Linked DNA regions of Mus musculus. The protein of the gene in region 1 purifies or fractionates together with the protein of each later gene. This does not show direct contact. Links are inferred from orthologs where the notes say so. Each region holds a gene or a part of one and is shown on either strand. Other genes may lie near its edges.

Evidence for each region.
Region 2: the proteins of Bach1 (region 1) and Mafk purify together in Homo sapiens (affinity purification with mass spectrometry; 6 studies listed by BioGRID and IntAct, counting the BioPlex papers as one, with this or other methods). This does not show direct contact. The link is inferred for Mus musculus from reciprocal best matches to the Homo sapiens genes BACH1 and MAFK.
Region 3: the proteins of Bach1 (region 1) and Mafg purify together in Homo sapiens (affinity purification with mass spectrometry; 5 studies listed by BioGRID and IntAct, counting the BioPlex papers as one, with this or other methods). This does not show direct contact. The link is inferred for Mus musculus from reciprocal best matches to the Homo sapiens genes BACH1 and MAFG.
Region 4: the proteins of Bach1 (region 1) and Hmmr purify together in Homo sapiens (affinity purification with mass spectrometry; 6 studies listed by BioGRID and IntAct, counting the BioPlex papers as one, with this or other methods). This does not show direct contact. The link is inferred for Mus musculus from reciprocal best matches to the Homo sapiens genes BACH1 and HMMR.
Region 5: the proteins of Bach1 (region 1) and Fam83d purify together in Homo sapiens (co-immunoprecipitation; 3 studies listed by BioGRID and IntAct, counting the BioPlex papers as one, with this or other methods). This does not show direct contact. The link is inferred for Mus musculus from reciprocal best matches to the Homo sapiens genes BACH1 and FAM83D.

The regions. Positions count from the first base shown.
Region 1 is NC_000082.6:87,726,454-87,729,953, reverse strand, and holds part of Bach1 (transcription regulator protein BACH1), read right to left. Parts: intron 518-3,500; coding exon 83-517; 3' UTR 1-82. UniProt on the Homo sapiens protein: Transcriptional regulator that acts as a repressor or activator, depending on the context. Binds to NF-E2 DNA binding sites. Plays important roles in coordinating transcription activation and repression by MAFK.
Region 2 is NC_000071.6:139,790,078-139,794,335, reverse strand, and holds the start of Mafk (transcription factor MafK), read right to left. Parts: upstream 2,801-4,258; 5' UTR 2,624-2,800; intron 630-2,623; exon of another isoform or gene 1-629. UniProt on the Homo sapiens protein: Since they lack a putative transactivation domain, the small Mafs behave as transcriptional repressors when they dimerize among themselves.
Region 3 is NC_000077.6:120,630,748-120,635,042, forward strand, and holds the start of Mafg (transcription factor MafG), read right to left. Parts: upstream 2,801-4,295; 5' UTR 2,615-2,800; exon of another isoform or gene 1-2,614. UniProt on the Homo sapiens protein: Since they lack a putative transactivation domain, the small Mafs behave as transcriptional repressors when they dimerize among themselves.
Region 4 is NC_000077.6:40,730,638-40,734,719, forward strand, and holds the start of Hmmr (hyaluronan mediated motility receptor), read right to left. Parts: upstream 2,801-4,082; 5' UTR 2,723-2,800; coding exon 2,677-2,722; intron 1-2,676. Other genes in the region: Nudcd2 (nudC domain-containing protein 2), read left to right, coding at 3,329-3,517. UniProt on the Homo sapiens protein: Receptor for hyaluronic acid (HA). Involved in cell motility. When hyaluronan binds to HMMR, the phosphorylation of a number of proteins, including PTK2/FAK1 occurs.
Region 5 is NC_000068.7:158,766,801-158,770,898, forward strand, and holds the start of Fam83d (protein FAM83D), read left to right. Parts: upstream 1-1,298; 5' UTR 1,299-1,313; coding exon 1,314-1,787; intron 1,788-4,098.

The DNA of each region.
Region 1 (3,500 bases):
GCAAGAAGACACGGCCACGCTAGGCTTCGAGACAATGCCGAAGGTCAGAGGGAGGCCATGGGCTGAAGGCTGCCCGTGGGGTTTACTCGTCAGTAGTGCACTTGTCAGACATCTGCTGACAGAAGTCTGAGATCCCAGCACTCTGCCGACAGGGTTCCAACAGCGTGGCCTGCTCTGGGGCAGCTGCGGTGGTTGGCGGGGACTCCTGCACCAGCTCCTGGCTGGCCGCGCTGCTCCCTCGCCCACAGGGAGGTGGTGCAGTTGGAGGCACGTCAGACACACTGAAAACCGATGTAAAAGCAAGCTCGCCGTCGGGAGTACTTTTTCCTTTCTCAGAAATTAAAAAGGAAAGCGGGCAGTCGGAGGCCGAGTACTTGGCAAGGATCTGGATCTGCTCGGGGCTCAGGGCGGCTTCCTTGCACACCTGCTGACAAAGTCCGGTCAGGTTCTGCTTTGTCTCCCCCAGCGTTGACAGAATGTGGTCTCGCTCCTTCAGCAAGCTCTCCTTTTCACTTTGCTGTGCAGAGGAGAGAGAGAACACAACGGTGTTTACTGTGTCCCCCGACAGCTCTAAGGCAATCAGACACTCAGTGCCTACAATGTCGTCTTCAGTAAGACCCTGCTGAATGCTGCCTTTCAACCCCTCACACACCCATGTCAACTCACCACAGACACACTTGCAGTGTTTGCTGCTGCGCTACTCACGGTACCTAAGTGACGGGACCGACTGAGGTGCCCAGACACCGAGGAAGGGCTCACGTGCATCAGTATACAGTGGAATCTTTTCCACCATAAAGAAAAATGAGGTTATGCTGTTTGGAAGAAAACTGAAGTTTACAATAGGTGAATTGAGTCAGTGTTCCAAACACAGATGTTCTCTCTCGTATGTAGGTCCTAGATTTTTATGTAGACACAAAAACCACATATGATATGAAAGCAGGAAGAAGTCTAGAGAAGCAAAGACGACTAAAGGGGGTGGGAGGTAGGAAGGGAATGAGGCTGCTCTCAGTGAACAGCTTGCCAAGCTTGTAGGACAGGGGCCTCAGGTAATGTACTATATACACTACTCTACGTGCAGAGTAGTCCACGTACGGGCATGCGGAAACTCAGAGCTGAACACAGAGACAGACAGACACAGACACACACACACACACGCAAAATACCAAAGAAAGGCTCATCCAAAACTCCTAGAGTCAGTCCTTATACTGTGCACACCAGTACTCGTGTGTGTGTGTGTGTGTGTGTGTGTGTGTGTGTGTGTGTGTGTGTGTGTGTAGTTAAAACGCACCACCAAACATCCTTATACTCTTAAATGAAACACTGAAAGATCAAGTAAGGCGGAAAGTAGGGGAAAGAACTTGTAGCTGGCTATCAAAAGGGGCTGGGTTCTGGCCATGGTTCTAAGGCAAACTCATTATCCTGAGTGCTTGGGTTTGAACTGTGGATAACTACGGGCTTGACCCTGTGCGGAAGGAAACCAACACAGTTCCTCGGTTAGCCCCTGAAACTTACCTCACTGTAAGACTCAGCTAATGCTGCCTTCCTGAGATCTGACTGTGAGCCCAGGATTATGTCAATGTCTTAGCTATAGAATCCACGGAGTGACTCAGTAAACAGAAGTAAGACTTCAGCGTACCCGTATGAGAAGTGAGTTCCTACAGGGTAAGGAGTGAGGAGGCTAACCCTGTGTGTACTGTTTACAGTGCGGTATTTTCAAATCCCTACAAGAAAGTGTACCACTAAGTACGTTTTCCTGGTCCGTCCCTTCTGCCCACATCAGGCATCACCGCCAATAGTGTTTTCCTTTCCCCTCATCCCGCCGCCTCCTTCACCTCCTACCACTCACTTCTAATGTCTTATGTGCTAGGCAACCTAATCACCGAGCTGCTTGTGAACTGAGAGTTAATAAGCGCTAACCGCAGGACAAAGGTTTCCCCCGTGGAAACAGCACGACTAGTGTCTAAGGGAACCAGAGGCCACCACCGCCTGCTCTCTGCTCGCTGACAGCTCTGAAGAGCCAGGGCTCCTAGAGACCACCCGATGCTGTATTTCACAGCGGTAATTTCTAACTGTCAAACTTTTGGTCCTTCTAGCATAAAAATAGTTTAAAGGTAGCAAGAGCTCTGCTAGATACAGATGTGCTCTTACACGTGTGTACCTAGCAGAGCTCACAAAAATATTTCTACGGTGTTATGTGAAAATTTAATTATTAGTGGTGTTTGTAAAATATTAAGATTATATGATATTTTTAAATATGCAATGAATAGGAATTCTTTTATTATAAGCACAATATAAATTTTTATAATCCAAAGCAATTCCCCAATTTGTTCAGAATTTTAGTTTTCTTTTAAAATAAAAACAAGAGCAGGTCAAGAATGTGCATGTGCGTGCTCGTGTGTAAGTCGGGTCTTCATTCAGCCATTTCCTCTTACACAGACTCTGTCAGTTACTACAGATGAAATCAGTCTGCAGGTGCCAAGACGGGAACAGCACTGGCTTCTATCCCCGAGAAGAAACACATTAAAGCCATCTGTGCCCTCTTTTCTTTGCACCTCTCTGCAGCTAGTGGGAATAGAAACAAGACCCTGGGAGAAACTAACAACCCTCTTTACTCAGTGATAGTTATACTAACGTCTGGCTTCCTCTGTCACCGCCGAAAGGAAGCCATTCTCAACGGCAGGAGATTTAATGTCAAGTGCTGCTGGCCTTTCAAATTAGGAAAGGTTAACTGTAACAGTGACCGTTTGGGCTTCCTTTTACAAATCAAAACCACCATTCAGAGATGCTCTAGAGATCACAAATATTATGTAATTTCTGTATCTTCATGTAACTATCTATCTATGTATGTGGTCTCTCCACATTCACATGCACACTGCGACACTAAATAAAAATGTCCAAGAAGAGTCAGGGGAAGGCTCAGAGGGTCAGGAGTGATTGTTGCACAAACATAAGGATCTGAGTTCGAATCCCCAGAACCCAAGTAAAAAGTTAAATATGGCCATACACTGGGGCTACACTGCTGTAGCGGAGTAGAAGGTCTTAGAGTGACTGCTGTGGCTTGCTGGCTGGCCAGCCTAGCCAAAAAAAGTCAGCAAGCTGCAGGTGTGCTCAAAGGGCAGAGGAGACCGAAGAAAGGATCCGGACAGCCTCTGGCCCCTCCTGAACACACGGGAGCCGGACTCGAGTGCCCCCTTCCCACAGACACACAGGCACATATATAGACACACACACGGGCAATTTTAAAAACAAGAATGTCCCACAGAAGCTGACTTGTGCCCAGGTACAGCACGAGCTCTCTAATCTTCCCTCTGTTCCTCACACGCCCAGCAACCCCTCACAGCCACCTCTGAGGCAGCTAACTGCTATCTCCACTTATGCTATTTTGAAAACCTCAATTTACCAGGGCAAGTCAGAATAGTTGCTAAGGAGTGAATCAAACCAACCCAACCAGAGAGCTTCACAGCACGGCCCAGACACAGGAGGAGCAGGAGCTCAAAGCG
Region 2 (4,258 bases), on another chromosome or scaffold:
GCACGGTCCAGTTCTTCTCTGGACCTTGGTGTAACAGATCCCCAACTCTGATCTTGGTGCCTCAGACTTAGTCCCACAGATAACATAGGTCTTGGGGTGCCCTTCTGAGCTTCCCTGTCTGGGCTTCCTTCTTTGGCTGGTGAGTGTTCCTGGCTATGATGGATATGGGGTCTCCACTCTAGCCTCAACTTCCACTTCTTCCTGAAAGCCCTCCTAATTGCTGTCTTTGGAAAGTCAGCCTTTTCCCTGGACCTAGACCTGGTTCTAGAACATTCTTTCAGCAGCTTCCATGCACAATCAACTTCTGTTAAGCAGAGAGCGTGTGTTGCTGATACCAGCTCCTTCAGGGTATCAAGGTCTGTTTTATAGACAGACAGAGGCGGGGACTCAGACAAAAAAGGAAGCTGAGCGGAGGGTGTGTGCTCTCCCCCTACCATACCAGACAGCCCCAAGGAAGAGCTGACAGGTGTGTCATCAGACACAACAGCCCCTATCCTCTAACCCTGACCTCTGACCTCAGGCCAGGCCATCAAGCAAGCAAGGCTGTAGTATCCTCCCCAACACCAAGCAGTGTGGTGTTTGATCACTGGGGCTCAGGTCTACCTCTGTGAAACTCTATAGGTTTTCAGATAACACTTTCAGTTTCCTGAAACTGCAGGAAAGAGGAAACAGAACGCATGTGTGTGACTTATAAAAAGCAAAAGTAAATATGAGTGACCAGGCATCTTCCCGGAGCGGAGCAGGGGACAGGGAGGGTGGGGCGGGAGAATGAGTCACTGTTTATAGCTCCAGAGATCGGCCACACAGAGAATTCTCCCAGCTGGCCTGATTTCCATTTCCCGTGTGGACTAGACCCGAGATCCAGAAAGTCCACCCCAAGAAACCTTTAGACTCAGAACAGCCGGGGCAAAAACAGACACAACTTCTTAGTCTAGACTGCAAGAAAGAGTTAGCAGAGACTGTAAACAAGCCCTGGGGCTGGTAGAGCCAGGGACTAAAAACTGAGGGTCCTTAGGAAGTAATGGCCAGAAAAGACTCACCAGAAGCCTTGAGGTGCTAGAGAAAGGGCTGGGACACAGAAACAGCAGACTCTCGGGAAAACAGAGCCTCCCCAGACCCTCCATCCAACGTCCATTTTTAGCAACTACCTGGAAAGTACACAGCCCTGAACTTGGAACAGGGCCCTGCAAGCCCAGCTCAGTTGGAGAACAAGAGGAGAATGTACTCCAGCAAAGCCTGGCTTTGTGTTTTGTCTAGTAAATCTTTTCTTTTGGAATCACAAGAAGTTATCACATTAGACACATTCCCTTTACCAAGGTCAAACACCACATTTCTCGTGATTTATCTAAGGAGAGAGGAAGGTTTTTGTCATCAGTGAGGGCTGTCCCCAGTGACATGGGCTGCAGGTAGGTCCTGCCTATACAGCTTTCTTGACTCCATCCACATGCTTAAATTCACACCTACTGTTTCAGTTTGGTTTTGTGTGACAGTGTCTCGCTATGTAACTAAGGCTGGTCTTGAACTAGCTAAGCAATCCAGGCTAACCTTAAACTCAAGATCTTCCTGCCTCAGACTCCCATGTGCTAGGAGTACAAGCATGTGCCACCATAACATAATGGCTTTAGACCAACACCTTTGAAAGAAGTTACCTGGCCCTAAAACACCAGCTCAAAGCATCAAAGTACCCACGTGCACTCCACCAGATACCTTCTGAAATGTTGCTGCCACAGTATGACCTCAGCAGTGCCAACCTCTGGGGTCCCAGGGCTAATTTTAGTGACTCCACAGGAGTGGAAGGGGTGAACTACCTACCAGCTGAGACACAAGCTAGCTTTTGAGGACTGAGTGTACTGAGTGCCTGTCCATCAATTGGAAGGCGAACTGTTAAAGTGCATCTGTGTTAGCAATGAGAGCTGTGTGAAAAGCGAGGCTCAGACTAACTTCCCTAGAGAAACAAGAGCACCAAGCAGCCTCACCTCCCAAATACCGACTGCGTTCTTACGGGGCAAGTTCTAGGAGGCTGGAGTGGCTGTTATCTCAAGGATACCAGAAGAGGAGTCTATCTCCCCCAAAGAGATCTAATCTAGGCACCTAGGACCCACGAGGCTTTCTTCACCTGTAATTTGCTAGAGTTTTTGCTTCTGATTTCTCGCCGCACGCTCGTAAACATGCACACTCTTAACACGCCTATCCGCTCACCCTACTAGGGAACCTCGCACTTCAGAGTTGGATGGGACCTTGGCCCCAGACCACACCTGAAGAAAGTGACGGAAGCGATAGGCTGGCCAAGACGGTCACCTGCCTCGCTCCCCACCCACAGCTTCCACATCCGGCACCGCTGGCCGGTCAGCTGATTAGAAAGTGACACCAGTTACTCAGGCCCTTTCGGGGTCCCGGCCGGGGGCGAGGTGGGGGCGAATTCTACGCCGACGGAAATGGCCAGGTGCGCACGGCTCCCGGGTGCCACTCTCCCGCACGTGGTGGGTCCCGTGTGGGCCTTGAGCTAGGTCCCGCGTGGCACGTGCTCGAGGCCCAGGCTGGGTCCCGCGGCCTTCGGGGTGCTCCTCCCGCAGGTGCACGAACTCTGGGTTCCCCTACCCAGTTCCCGAAGCCCCTCACTCACCCGGGTCGCGCGCGGGGCCGGGCGCGGCGGCTCCTTGCGGACACGCACTCTTCACAAGCGCTTCTGCTCTCGCGCTCCCCTTAGTCGCCGTCTCCGCCTGCGCGCTTCGGACTTCTCGTTCCGACTCGGCGAAGAACAACAAGTCCCTGCCACCCGCCGCCCGCCGCCGGCTCCCCAGTACTGACACCGCTTCCGGGATCGCGCGTCGAAGCGCGTCACCGCCCCGCCCCCGCGATGGCCACGCCCCTAGTGATCACGCCCCTGTTGCTCACGCTTCTTCGCTCACCAAAACCACGCCCTCTCTGGCCGCGCGTCGGCACCACGCCCCTGATGGCCACGCCCCTCGCTGCCCCAGTCCCTGGGTCCTCCTACATGCTTCCACGTGCAGTTGTCTCATTGCTGAGCTCCTGGCCCTGTCCATCCCCAACACACCCGGGGCGGGGTCTGTGCTCCTTTCCCAAGGTAGGGGGTGTCAGGCGAGCGTGACGCACACTGGGTATGGACCCCACGTTTCCTTGAACTTTCAGCCTGGGCATTATGTCTCTATGTCACCCACTGTCGTCTATGCTACTCACTGTGATCCTGAGGCTGCTGGAGCCTCCCCGGGTCTTGGCAGAGAGAATAGAGGCCAACTGGCTAGTGACCATGTTCTGGACCTAACACCAAGCCCACGTCAAGGTGGCGAAGTGGCTCAGTTACACCACATAATCAGCAAGGCAGATGCACCCTACAAAGGAGAAAGAGATATGTATGTAGCATCCTCTTCTGACCCATACCATGACCTTTTGATTTATATCTGAGACAGAGGTAAGGTCTCACTGTGCAGCTCAGAGTGGCCTGGAACACTTATAAAACTTTATTTTTTTTTTTTACTTATTTATATGTGTGTTCATATGTATGTGGATTGGTGTGCACACACTACCACGAATGTGTGGAAGTCAGAGGGCAACTTTAGGGAATCTGTTTTTTCTTTCCACTTTTGGGTTCCGAAAATTGAACTCAGACTTGGTACCTTTACCCACTGAGCCACCTCACTGGCACTGTCTTGAAGCTCTTAATCCTTCTGCCTTCACCCTAAGTGCCTTCACCTAAGCCTGCCCCTCCCCCTCCCCCTCCCCCTCCCCCCTTCTCCCTCTCCTCCCTCCCTCTCCTCCCTCCCTCTCCCTCTCCCCCTCCCCCTCCCCTCCCCCTCCCCCCTCTCCCTCTCCCTGTAAGCAATGGATAGTGTCTTAGTTAGGTTTTTACTGCTGTGAATAGTCACCACGACCAAGGTAACTCTTATAAGGACAACATTTAGTTAGGGCTGCCTTATAGGTTCAGAGGTTTAGTCCATTATCATCAAGGATCATGGTAGCATCCAGGCAGTCATGGTGCAGGCAGAGCTGAGAGTTCTACATCTTCATCTGAAGGCTGCTAGGAAGACTGACTTCCAAGCAGTAAGGATGAGGGTCTTAAAGCCCACACCCACAGTGAGACACCTATTCCAACAAGGCCATACCTCCTAATAGTGCCACTTCCTGGGCCTAACATATTCAAACCACAACAGACAGAAAGCCATATCTCTCTGACTTGGGGATGCATGGACATATGGCTGTTTTCCATAGGCTTCGGTGGGGGCAAGAGCACACACAGAAC
Region 3 (4,295 bases), on another chromosome or scaffold:
CAGGGCCAGGGAACAAAAGCAAAACAGGTCCCTCCTACAGTCAGCCGCCCCTCCGGGCTCAACCTCATTTTCAGCTTTCTAAAGCCTTGCCAAGGACATTCTTGTGTACCTAGGCTGGGAATCCCCACTTAGCCCAACACCCACCAGTCCCACAGGCACATCCTCTCCTTTCCAGGTTAGGTGCAGGGAAATGAGGGAAGTGAGGTTGCTGCAGGTCTGTGAGCACTTCAGGCAAAAATGTGCTGGATGGGGAGTTGGTTCATCTTATCAAAGGAACTAACACATTCTCATTAGCTTTACCCTACTGCTTTTAGCTTTGAACAGGAGGTGTGGCTACATGCAAACACTGAGCAAGCAAACCAGGACTAAATCTACAGGACTAGATTAGGAGCATTTTCAGAGGCAACAGTACTGCTAGATCAAAGAGAAAGGCAGAACTCAGATCTAGAGGTCTGAAGGGCATCTGTCTTTCTTACAAGTTGGCCCTATACTCACACTAGGAGCATAAGTCGAGGTGAGGGGACAGTCCTGGCAGGAGCTTCCCTTATACAGACTGCTGAGCTCAAAACGGTGACTTCCTGAGATCGCACAGGAAAGTGCAGAGTGTGGCGGCTGGGAGCTGAAAAGTGCCTTCTCAACAGATTTTACCTCCACCAAAGGCCTGAACTCAGCACAAGTGCAGCCAACTGCCTCCTGATCAAAGGTGCACGAGAGAGAGAGAGAGAGAGAGAGAGAGAGAGAGAGAGAGAGAGAGAGAGAGAGAGAGAGAGAGAGAGAGAGAGAGAATGTGTGTGTGTTAGAGCGAGTGTGTGTACATGTTTATACGCATGTGTGCTTAAGGGGGAAGGGCAGGTCTCAGGAAAGCCAATTCTTCCAGCTACCTGCCTGGCTTCTGCAAACCTAGGGACACAGTGACTAGGCAGACAGTTCTGGGGGGGACAGCTGTGCTGAGGGATACAGTTTAGAGAGCTTTCCAGAGCCTGAGGAAGAAGCTCAGAGAAGCTGATCTGGACCTGCTGCCTCCAACTCAGCCCTCCAAGTACTCACAGTTATGGACAGACTCAAGACACCAAGGGGCTCTGGACCACTCATTCAGGCTGACCCTTAAAGAAGGGGTTTGGGCACCTCTGTCCTCTCACACTAGACAATCTGGACATTAGTCTCAAGCAAGATAGTGACCCTTCCTTGCTAAACCTTGCCTGTAAACCTCAATGCAGGAGACCCCCTACGTAGGTCTTCTCTCCTTCAGGTACTGACATTGTTTGAAGAGAACGGAAAACATTAAGTTCACTGAAGCACAGTGCCTCCGGAGTTTAACAATTTTCTGGAACCTTGAAGTTTCATAGGGCAAGTTCCACACCAAATGAAAAAAACACTGCACCTATGAGCAGCCTCAGGGCTCAGGGTTAAGGGGACATCCCTTAGCACAAACCACAAGGTAAGCACAGTCTAGACATGAATCCCTGGGCAAGGAAAGCAGTAGGATGGAGTTCAAGAACCTTCACGACAGATAAGTCAGTAAACAGCCATTCAGCCACACCCCACAAAACTGTCACCTCCCAAGAGTCTCCAGACACCCAACAGGGCACACACACTTTTTGGTAACTCCAGGCAACAGTGGGACCCCAAACTCTTCTGAAAGGAATAACATTGGGATAAATAAAACTACATCTTCTACTCCATGGTTGCACCTCAAAAACTCTCACCAGCTGCCTAGATCCACACTCTGCTCTCCTTAGCTGGTTAGAGCTGCCCCAGCTTCTTTCAAGCCACAGACCCTTCTCCCCCTGCCTCCCGGTCTTCCCCATCTAGGACCGACGAAGCCTGGCCATTCAGGGTCACAGAGAAGGAAAGCTTGCTTCCCAGACGAGCTGGCTCGGCCCACCTAAGCTCCTCCCCTCAGCGTACACCGATCGGTCTCCGGGTTTGGGGAACTGCCCCAGTTGTGGGACCCGGGCCAGGAGCCCAAGAACCAGGCAAGGATGCGCACGCCCGGGGCTTTACCTTCCACCCCGGGAGAAACCTGCGGCGCGCCCCTGCAATGCCTCCTTCGGAGCCTTTGCCTCCAACTCACAGGTCTGTCAAACTTAAACACGACCCCGGATCCCGGCCCGACCTTCACCACCCGGATCGAGCCCTGTCTCCCGACTAGACCGGCCGATAGCGGGCCCCGGCCCCCCGCCCTGGCCCAGCGTCAGCAGGAGCACCGAGTGACCTCATGCTGATGACTCAGCACGTCTCCGCTGGGCTCGCACCCGCGTGGCGAGCCCAAGCCGCGCAGCAGGGTCTCCCCGCCGCCTCCCCTGTGGGCCCGCGCGCGACCCCGCCCGCGCGGAAGCCGACGGACACCTGATGAGTCAGCAGCTCGGTGCGGCCACCCCGCTGACCCGGGCAGACGCGCGCAGCTCGCCCTTAAATCGCGCCCCCCGCAGGGCACCCGGGGTCCGCCGCCGCGCGCACGCCCGTCCCCAGCCTCGCGGTCGCCCGGTCCGCCGGCTCTAGGGGGACACAGGCGAACAGCCGGCTGGCGGGGAAACCAAGGCACGCGCTGCCGTCGGGTGCGCCGCAACCCCGAGGCCAGGCCCCGCCGCCCGCCCCAGCCCCGCGCACTCACCACACTGCGGGCCCGGGCGGGCCAAGGCGGGGCTGGGGCGGGGCCGCGCGCGCGCGCTCCGGGGCTGCGCGGGGCTGGGGCGGGCGCGAAGGGTCCGGGCCGGGGGCTTAGGAGGACTGGCCGCCTGCGCGGGCCGGGCCAAGCGCGCTGGGAAGGCCGGGCCGGACCGGGCTCAGAATCCGCCGCCGCCGCCGCTCCTCAGACGTCACATGATGTTTGGTCACGTGGGTTCCATTCATGAAGCGGCGACGCGGCTGGCCTAAGCTTAAAGGGAAAGGCGAGGCGGCAGCAAGGCGAGCGCGCCCCCATCACGCCTGCGCAGCCCCGCGCCGTTGCCCTTGGCAACGCCCGCCGCGCCCTGGCAATGTCTCGCGGGAGTCGTCCCGGCGCTCGCCGGGTTGACCGTGCTCCTGCAGAGACAGGTTCTACGGAGTGGCCCCAACTCGGATGCCTCTAGCTCCCTCCCGATCTCCACACCAACTCAGACCGAGGTCTATGGGAGGTTTGTTTGATTTTCTTCACTTGGATGCATAGTTTCACTGTACAGCGAGCAGACTGGATTTCAATTCCCTGAGATGCTCCTGCCTCGGCCCCCTGAAAGCGGAACTCACAGATGAGCGTCACCACGCGGGAACCTATTTGCTGTTTTGAAGGTGTGACACAGTGATTTAGTTCCTTACCCCGTTCTGCTGCGACGTCCTCATTCTAAATGGGTCAGCAGTCTGAAAAGGACACGGCTGTTGAGGGGCACAGCCCCAACCCCAGCTCAGATCCCCAAACTATCCACGATGACACGAAGGCTTGGAGGACGCTCACTAATGATTCTAATCTCCGGAGGGTGCTAGGGGCTTCACCTGCGGCCGTGGACCATCTCTTCGGGTAGTGTGCGTGCACTGTAGGAGTTGTGCACTTTGCCCAACCCTTCTCTGCCGCATTTGAAACTACTTTGGGTGCATTCTGCTGCTACTTTTTCTGTGAGACTTCTCGCTGCTGTTGAAAAAGTAAAAAAGAAGGAAAGTAGGAGGGATCAAGTTTTCATTTCGAGGTTCTGAACGTTCTATTTGACCCTGTCTTCTCTGGGAATCGTGAAAAGGTGACTCGTTCTGTAACATAGGTGACAAGGAAAAGGGGGTAAGCAGGCTGGAGGGGGCCTGTGTGTGTCCTTTGTGTCAAATTTGGTTTCTTGAGACAAGGTTTAGACCAGGCTGGCCCCAAACTCTCAGAGATCCGACTGCCTCTGCCTCTCTAGTGCTGGGATTAAAAACATGTGCCACCACACCCAGCCTCAAAAAGTAATTCTTTACATTGTATTTCTTTGGGGAGTGGGGGGGGGGGAGCTTTTATCTTTCACTGGCTGTAGCCAGAGTCTCAGAATACAGAGAATTACTCCTTATGCCTTGTGGTGGTTTGAATAGAAATGGCCTGCATGAATTCTAAATGCCGTGTCTAAATGCTTGGCCCATAGGGAATGGCACTATTAGGAGGTGTGGTCTTGTTGGAAGACGATTGTCTCTGTGGGGACAGGCTTTGAGGTCTTATATACTCAAGCTATGCCCGTGTGTGACTTACAGTTTCTTGCAGCCTTCAGAATGCAGAACTCTAACTAAGCCCATCCTCCAGCAGCAAGTCGGCCCTGATTCAGTCTTGCTACTCTCCATGACAATAATGGATTAAACCTCTG
Region 4 (4,082 bases), on another chromosome or scaffold:
GTATCTTGTTAATCACAGCTGATTCTTCAGCCCCAGCTAACCAAAACCACAGAACCTTCACAATCAATACAGCAACAGCCCTGATAAGAGTCTTCCCTCTGAAATTTCACAAGCCAGGCCTCCATCTTCTGTGCTGTTCTCAACATTATCTTCCAAGCTCCTACACAACATCCCACAGAGCTCTTAACATCCCAATGGTTCTTCTAGCCCAAAGTTCCAAATTCCTTCCATAGTCCTCCAGAAAACATGGTCAGGCTGTCACAGGAATTCCTCACTATGTTGGTACCAATTTGGTTTAGTCAGGGTTTCTATTCCTGCATAAACATCATGACCAAGGAACAAGTTGGAGAGGAAAGGGTTTATTCATCTTACTCTTCCACATTGCTGTTCATCACCAAAGGAAATCAGGACTGGAACTCAAGCAGGTCAGGAAGCAGGAGCTGATGCAGAGGCCATGGAAGGATAGTCTTCACTGGCTTGCTTTCCCTGGCTTGCTCAGCCTGGTCTTTATTATTATTATTATTAATTAATTAATTTATTTATTGGTTTTTTTGAAACAGGGTTTCTCTGTGTAGCCCTGGCTGTCCTTGAACTCAGAAATCCGCCTGCCTCTGCCTCCCTAGTGCTGGGATTAAAGGCGTGCACCACCATGCCCGGCTTCAGCCTGCTCTCTTATAGAATTTAAAATCTACTTTCAATTTTGTTCAGCCCATTCTCATTCACCTTCCAGATCTCCATGTGGCCATCTAGCTTTTGCAGAATCCCCCCCCCCCCCTCAAAAAAAATCAGGCTAGAAAATTCTCATAGCACTGTCTATAATTCCTAACAGCTTATTATGCTTTCATAAGGACTTATTTACTTTATCTCTACATTAGACTTAAGTGCTTGCAATTTGGGAGTAGCTTCTATTCTTCTAGTATTTAGCTCATAGTTATGTTGAGCAGTATAGAAAAAAAATATCTTGTTTGGGATGTGAGAATGGACTAGGCTTTTGTAATTAGCCACAGGAGTACTCAAAATCACCTGTGTCTGACAAGCTACAGAAAATACCATGCCAGACACTTTGTAGACATAGGGAGAACACACCAAATTTTAAAAAAAAAAAAAGTTAGATTCCCTCCTTTATCCCAGGATGCTTTAAGTTTCCTTGAGGTAGAAAAAGCTGCCATGGACTTACAAATATTAAATATCTGACATATTATCTTTGACACTGTAAGCCTTAACTACTGCTCCTTAAAACCAAACAGCAGCTGAGCCATGTGTGTTGTGCAGGTCTCTTAAGTTTCAGTACTTGGGAGGTGGCAGCAGGAGTACAAGGCTAGCCTGTGCTACAAGAGACCTTGTCTCAAAACAAAAACATCTACCCTGTTCTGTAGAACCTAAGTTGTCTGAGTTCCCTGGAAATGGTGTGGCCATGGAGATGGCTGTGTCTGATCACTCACTTGACCTTGTGAATGGAGGAACGTTGATAGAAACCAGATAGAGACTACTAACCAGTACATGCTACAGAGGATATAAACCGGCCTTTCATCTTCCGCTCCATCACTTACTTGCTGGCTGCATAATATAGTCAGAAACTCTCTCAATGTTCTCATTTGTAAAGAGTACAACTTTGGTACTTTTCTCGTCTAGCTGTTCAAAGGAATAACATATAGACCTTACGACAGTACAGCTGCACAGTTAGCATCTATCACCTCACACCCAAGGCTCTAGTTACTTGTGCATAAACCACAGCCCTTAAGAGCATAGCATATATCCTTGGAAGTCTGGGTTCCCACTCCATTTCTGCCAATTTAGTTTCATAAAATTGAGTGGATTTCAGTCTCATTTTTCATTTACTTCCAACATGCTATTAATTTGTTGTAGGTGTGAGTTACTGACAGTCTATGTAGCTCAGGCCACTAGGTCTGGAAGTGTCTATTTCTTACAGGTGAAAACATTAAAAATTACTTTATTCTAACTGTTTAAATGCTATCACCATCTACACTCAATTTACTCTGTCATCTACACACCAAGTTCCACTATTCTATTGTTAAAATGCTGAACATTACTTAAGAATTGTTTCATGAGATGGCTCAGTGGGTAAGAGCACTGACTGCTCTTTCAAAGGTCATGAGTTCAAATCCCAGCAACCACATGGTGGCTCACAACCATCTGTTATGGGATCTGAGGCCCTCTTCTGGTGTGTGAGGACAGCTACAGTATACTCATGTTAATAAATCAACCTTAAAAAAATAAAATATTAAAAAAGAAATTCCAAAGAACTGTTTCACGAGTGGAAAAGAATCCGTGGGCAGCTGTCTTTACTGAACAGATTTCTCAGTCTTTATGCTTTTATATCTGAATGCAATGTCAATGCAGAAAATTCTAAAGAGAGTAACTTCTTTTTAAAAAGAAAAGTAGCGCCTGCCAACTCCTAATCCCCTTCAACCAGCTGTGGTTTCTCCATGGTGTTGATGGCATATTTTGGAATCTCACGCTTGAAGACTCGCTGTGTGCAGGGATGACCTCATTTCACGTAGGGCCGCGTCTCTACCATCCCACACTGCGCTAACCAGGTGTTTACTGCGTGAATTTGGAGAAAAACAAACACCGCCCCAGCCCTAACCTGGCTTTCGAATGACTGGGAAACGAGGGCACATCCCCTTCCCACCCTGTTCCCCCACCCGTACGTACCCGAAGGGTCATTGAATCTCTTCAGGGGCGCCTTAGGAAAGGACATTCTGACGCCTGGGTCCAGATGAGACAGCAATCAAACGCCCCAGCAAACTGTCAGCTCGCCTGAATTCAAATTTACCTCAACTTTCCCCCTCAGCCAATCAGAAAACCTAAACCTATCTGGCCAATCCTGCATGGTCCAAAGAGCATGCGCACTAGATTCCTACCGCCGCCCAATCGGAAGGTTTGTAAGTTTAAGCTAGTAGCCAATAAGAGGCTGCTCCTGATCGTCGCCGCAAACAGCTCTATCCAATCACTTCTGGTTTTACTCAGTTTTACTGGGTAGCCCAGTTCGCGCAAGCGCACTTCACAGGCCGGTGGACGCGTCGGAATTTTGGCGTCACACAGGTTTAAAGATCGCAGGCACTTTTCTCCTTTGTTCCGGCGTCAGTGTTCTTTGGATGTCAACATCTCTAGGCTTCGGTCGATTTCACCAGGGCTCACGAGTGTCTTAAATGGGCTCTGAAAGGGAGAATTTTGCACACTCGGACACGCCAGTTTGGACTCTTGCGCATGTGCAGTGACCCCAAGGCGCCGAGGGCAAGCCCAGAGCCTAGTCCCGCCGGTGTAGTGCTCTCCCGGAGCCGTGTGCCTGCGTGGCGTCTTCAGAATGTCCGCCCCGTTTGAGGAGCGCAGCGGGGTGGTTCCTTGCGGGACTCCGTGGGGACAGTGGTACCAGACCCTGGAGGAGGTGTTCATTGAAGTCCAGGTGCCCCCCGGCACTCGCGCGCAGGACATCCAGTGCGGCCTGCAGAGTCGGCACGTGGCTCTGGCCGTGGGTGGCCGCGAGATCCTCAAGGTAGCAAGCCAGGGCTTGTCCCGAGTTCCTTCTTCTGGCTTTCCCGCACCCCGAGCCCTAAAATTCACGGTGTCAGAGGGATGACTGCTGGGTGTGGCAAGGTTAGTTCCTGGCTGGTAGAAAGAAGTGGTAAATTGTTCTGGCGAGGGGTCTCCACGGAGCACTGCACCCACAGAGCAGATTTTGCGCGGGTAGAACTCAAAGATTTTGTTCTCCACTTTATTTCTAAAATAGGTTTGGGGTGCTTTTATTTCCTCCGGAGTTCCTGCTGACAGAAGGCTAAGTAGGTCAAAAGAACGAATATGCGTCTTCTGGGCACCGATGGGAGTCCCAGAGACTAGACAAAAGGATTCTGAACTCTGTTCATGACGTGTAGGCTAATACAGGCACTTACAAGCAAGGCTAGGGTAATGGGATGAGGATTCCAAGATGTCAGATTGGTTTTCTAAATAACAAGTTTCTTGCATGTTGATCTTCATCGTAGTGAAAAGGTGTGTGAAGTTACCTAATTTCACCAAATTTTTAATCTGGTCACATTTCCCCGTTTTTGGTTAAGAATTTATTA
Region 5 (4,098 bases), on another chromosome or scaffold:
TCCTTGCTTTTAACCCAGGAAACAGAGGCAAAGACACTGTGTGACTGTACAGCCTCAGGCCTGGCCCCTGTCCTTATTACATGCAAGAGCTGGTTCGATTTGATAGAGGAAGGTAGTCTTCTGCATCCTGGATGCCAGAGTGGGGACACAGGAAGCTCTTGCCTTTGGGCTTGAATAACTTCCCTGAGAAGGCTGGAACCAGGGAAGGATGAAGAGAGGGAGGAGATCCTCACAGCAGTACTGGTTTGTTTTAAGTTTACAGAGGTAGAGGCAGGGGGTTAGAAAGCCAAGGTCATCCTTCGCTACAAGATATGAGAAAGGGAGAGAGAGAGAGAGTGAGAGAGACCTTTAAGCGAAGAAGTAGATACCACAGTGGATTAGTATATAGATGTATATGTATGAGCATATATGTATGTGTATATGTATATAGATATATATGTGTATGTTTGCAAGGTCTTCTGTGACCTCTCTTAGGATTGACACAGAATAAGATGGCTTCGAACTCCAGATTCTCCTACCCTAACCTCCCATGTGCTGGGAGTGTGCCACCACCCCCAGCTCTGCACCACTGAGAAAAAAAGACATTTATTTATTTTTATTTAATGTGTATGTTTGTGTGCTACGTATGCATACAGTGTCCGTGGATACCAGAAAGGGCATCATCAGATTCCCTGGAAGCATTATAGGTGGTTAGAGGTTGCCAGGGGAGACAGTGCTAAACCCAGATCCTCTGGAAGTGCTCTTAACTGATGAACCACCACTCCAGGCTCTATCTCTGTCTCTTTGTCTCTCTTCCTCCCCATCTTTTCCCTTCCTTCTCCCTCCCCCTCCCTCCGTCCCTCTGTCCTTCTCTCCTTCTCACTTGCTCTCTGTATTGATAAGTTAATGATTAGATGCAGGGTGGAGTGGCAATGAGGCTGATCACACCAAAATAAGCATGTCCAGGAGCAAGTCCTACCCCTAGTCCGAGTCCTTGAAGCACCATGTTATAGGGCACTCGGCAGGGGGCGTGCTCGGACAGTGCGGGGCTATGTCCCGGGTTGGCAGGGTTCTGGAGCCGCTAGGGCGGGGTAAAGTCAGATTTAAATTCCGCTCAGCCATCAGGCAGTGAGAGCAGAGGGTGGGCGGGTTCTGTCTCAGGAGCAACCAATAGCAATGAGGGGGCAGAGCCTTTGGTACGCATGGGAGACATCCAGCCAATGGGATTGCTGGGGCGGGGCGGCGAGCCAATAGAGCGGGCTGGTTTGATTCAAAGATGCCTATAAAAACTCAGACTACCACCGTAGACAAGTGGATCGGTTCTGGGCACTGCCATGGCTGCTCGCTTCGAGCTGTTGGACGACCTTCCCGCGGCCTGCCTGTCTCCGTGCGGACCGCCCAACCCCACGGAGCTGTTCAGCGAGGCGCGGCGTCTGGCTCTCGAGCAGCTGCTGGCCGGTGGTCCCGACGCCTGGGCCGCCTTCTTACGGCGTGAGCGGCTGGGCCGCTTCCTCAACGCCGACGAGGTGCGCGAGGTTCTGGGCGCTGCCGAGCGGCCGGGCGAGGATGGGGCGGCGGTAGCGGAGGACTCGTTCGGCTCCTCTCACGAATGCTCGTCGGGCACCTACTTTCCGGAGCAGTCGGACCTGGAACCGCCGGCGTTGGAGCTCGGCTGGCCTTCCTTCTACCAGGGTGCCTACCGCGGTGCCACGCGTGTCGAGGCTCATTTCCAGCCCCGCGGCGCGGGCGCCGGAGGCCCGTATGGCTGCAAGGATGCGCTGCGCCAGCAGTTGCGCTCCGCCCGAGAGGTGAGCGGCCCCCTGGCAGCGGGTAGGGGAGGAGCATCGGCCTTCTGAAAATTGAGTCATGTCGTAGTTCCAACTTCTGTTATTGGTACCCCTGGAACAGAGCGACTGTTAGTTCAAACCAAAGTGGATTGCAGAATTCCAGGGACGTCAGCTGACATTAGGTCTCACTTTCAGGAGCTAAGTAAAAGCTTAGTTTTACCCAAAAGATGATACCCGGAGACCATGGGGAGATCTGTAATTACCACTTTTCCACGCTTCTTAATGTTGTAGACAGATAAATTCGAGCAGTCGGTTTATCTCTTTCACTTCTGTGAGTGAGTCTGGTGGGAGATATTTTTAACCCACAGTGCCTGGGACTGTTCCAAGTAGCATTGATCCAAAATGCAAATATTTGTGCTTTAGATAAGCCACTGGTTACAATGGGTTTTTATCTTAGCTAGTGTCAGACTGCCCGATTGGCCTGGGGTGGAGTATAGAGTCTGGCCTGCCATAGATCAGGGAGAAAGGGCTCCACTTGGGAGGGTGTGGCTACAAGTTTGCATGCTGGTGAACACTGCTCCATTCCCAGACCTTTTGACTGCCTGGAACATGACGGGCAAAGCCTCAGACCATGTCAAGACTTAGTAGGCCTGGCACCGCTATATGTTAGGGTGCGGATCAGGTTGACATCACCAAGTCTAGGAGCAAGTTTGCGTTCTGTTTTTGTCTTTTGTTTTTTGTTTTCCTCTCTGCAAGACAAGGTCACTGTAACCCAGGCTTACCTGGAACTTACAGGCTTCAATTTCAGGCAATCCTCCTGCCTCTGCCTTCCTAGTGCCAAAGCCAAAGTTCTGATGCTGGTTCTGTACCTGACAGGCAGGACTTTGAGGATAAGAGTGTAGGTGACCAAGCTGTTCAGGGAATAGTATGGCTATGGCTGGATTCATGTTAATCCTGTGAGCTTTGGGTGGGCTGAGGGTCCGTTTGATGCTGGAAATGTTTCACTTGTGAGTTCAGTACAAAATTATAAAGCGTTTGGAAGAGGCAAAATTGTGGGCTAAGGGTGCATGCCCAAAGCTTCCCTCTGGGAGGAGAATTTGAGCACTCCTTGGGGACACCTTGAGAAGGAAAGACCTGGTCTCCAGGAAAGGCAGAGGTGTGGGCTGCTCTAACCTTTTGCTCAGTTGGGTGAAGGCACTAGAGCTAGAGGTCAGAAGGAAAACTTGCCTTAAAAGGGATCACAGCTACAGCAGACTTCCCTATCTTTCTTGCAATCTGAAAAACATCAGTGGATGGGGCCTCCTGCTTCCCTCTGTACCTACTTCCTTTACACCTCCCCTACATCCCTGTCTCTGGAAGCTGGGCGTTCCCACGGAGAAAGGTGGGAAACCCAATGAGCATTTTTTTGTATATATGCCCAAGTGCATACTTACCCAGAGTCTCCCAGCTGTCACACTGCCAGGGCTGGGGTCACAGAGGAGGGGGTGTGGTTCTCGTCCTTAGTTCATGGAGGACTGGGGATGAGGAAGGGGCTAGAAGAAAATCTGGAGTGGCGATGTCTGAGTTGGACTGAGAAGGAAGGATGGAACTAGCCTGTCTATGGAGAAGATAGGGACCAAAAGTCGAAAAGATGATGGGGGTGGTGTTCCTAGCAGTAAGCCTGGCGTGAAGGAGTTTAGATTTAGGAGGGCTGAGGTGGCAAGGAGGCCAGAGACATCCTTGTAAGAGGAAAGAGTCTGGATTAAGGCAGGGTGGGCAGGAAGCCAGTTTTAGGCAGAGTTCCCTGAATTTGAGACATGACGAACTGGAGTGGAAAGGCAGGGGAGGAAAGTATGTAGACAGCGAGGAAGCTTGAAGGCTGGGGGGGCGGGGTAGCTCTGTGGCAGGACGGACCTTAACATGCTGGAGGTCTTGGGTTTGAGCACACACTAAGGGGACAAGGGGGAGAAGGAAACACGTGGAAGGTTGATGGCTCTGCCGCCTCAGTTCCCGTAGAGAACAGCCGGGCTCTGCCTTCGAATGCTGGGCTTCCAGGCGTGTGCCGCCAAGCTGGCTGAGGCTGAGACTTGCTGGCCCTAGTTGGCAGTGACAGGACTACACTGGAATACATTAAGGAAAACAAGGACTGAGCTGGCCAAGGAGTGGGGTGTATAGGAATTAGGTTAATTTGAGGCATGAGGCTTTAAGAGGAAAAAAAAATGAGTCAATAAAAATTGTTTTCTCACCGCCTTTAATCCCAGCAGGCAGACACAGGCACATCTCTATGAGTTTGAGGCTAGCTTGGTCTAAATTGCAAGTTCCAGGCCTACAAAAGCTATATGGGGTGTGGGGT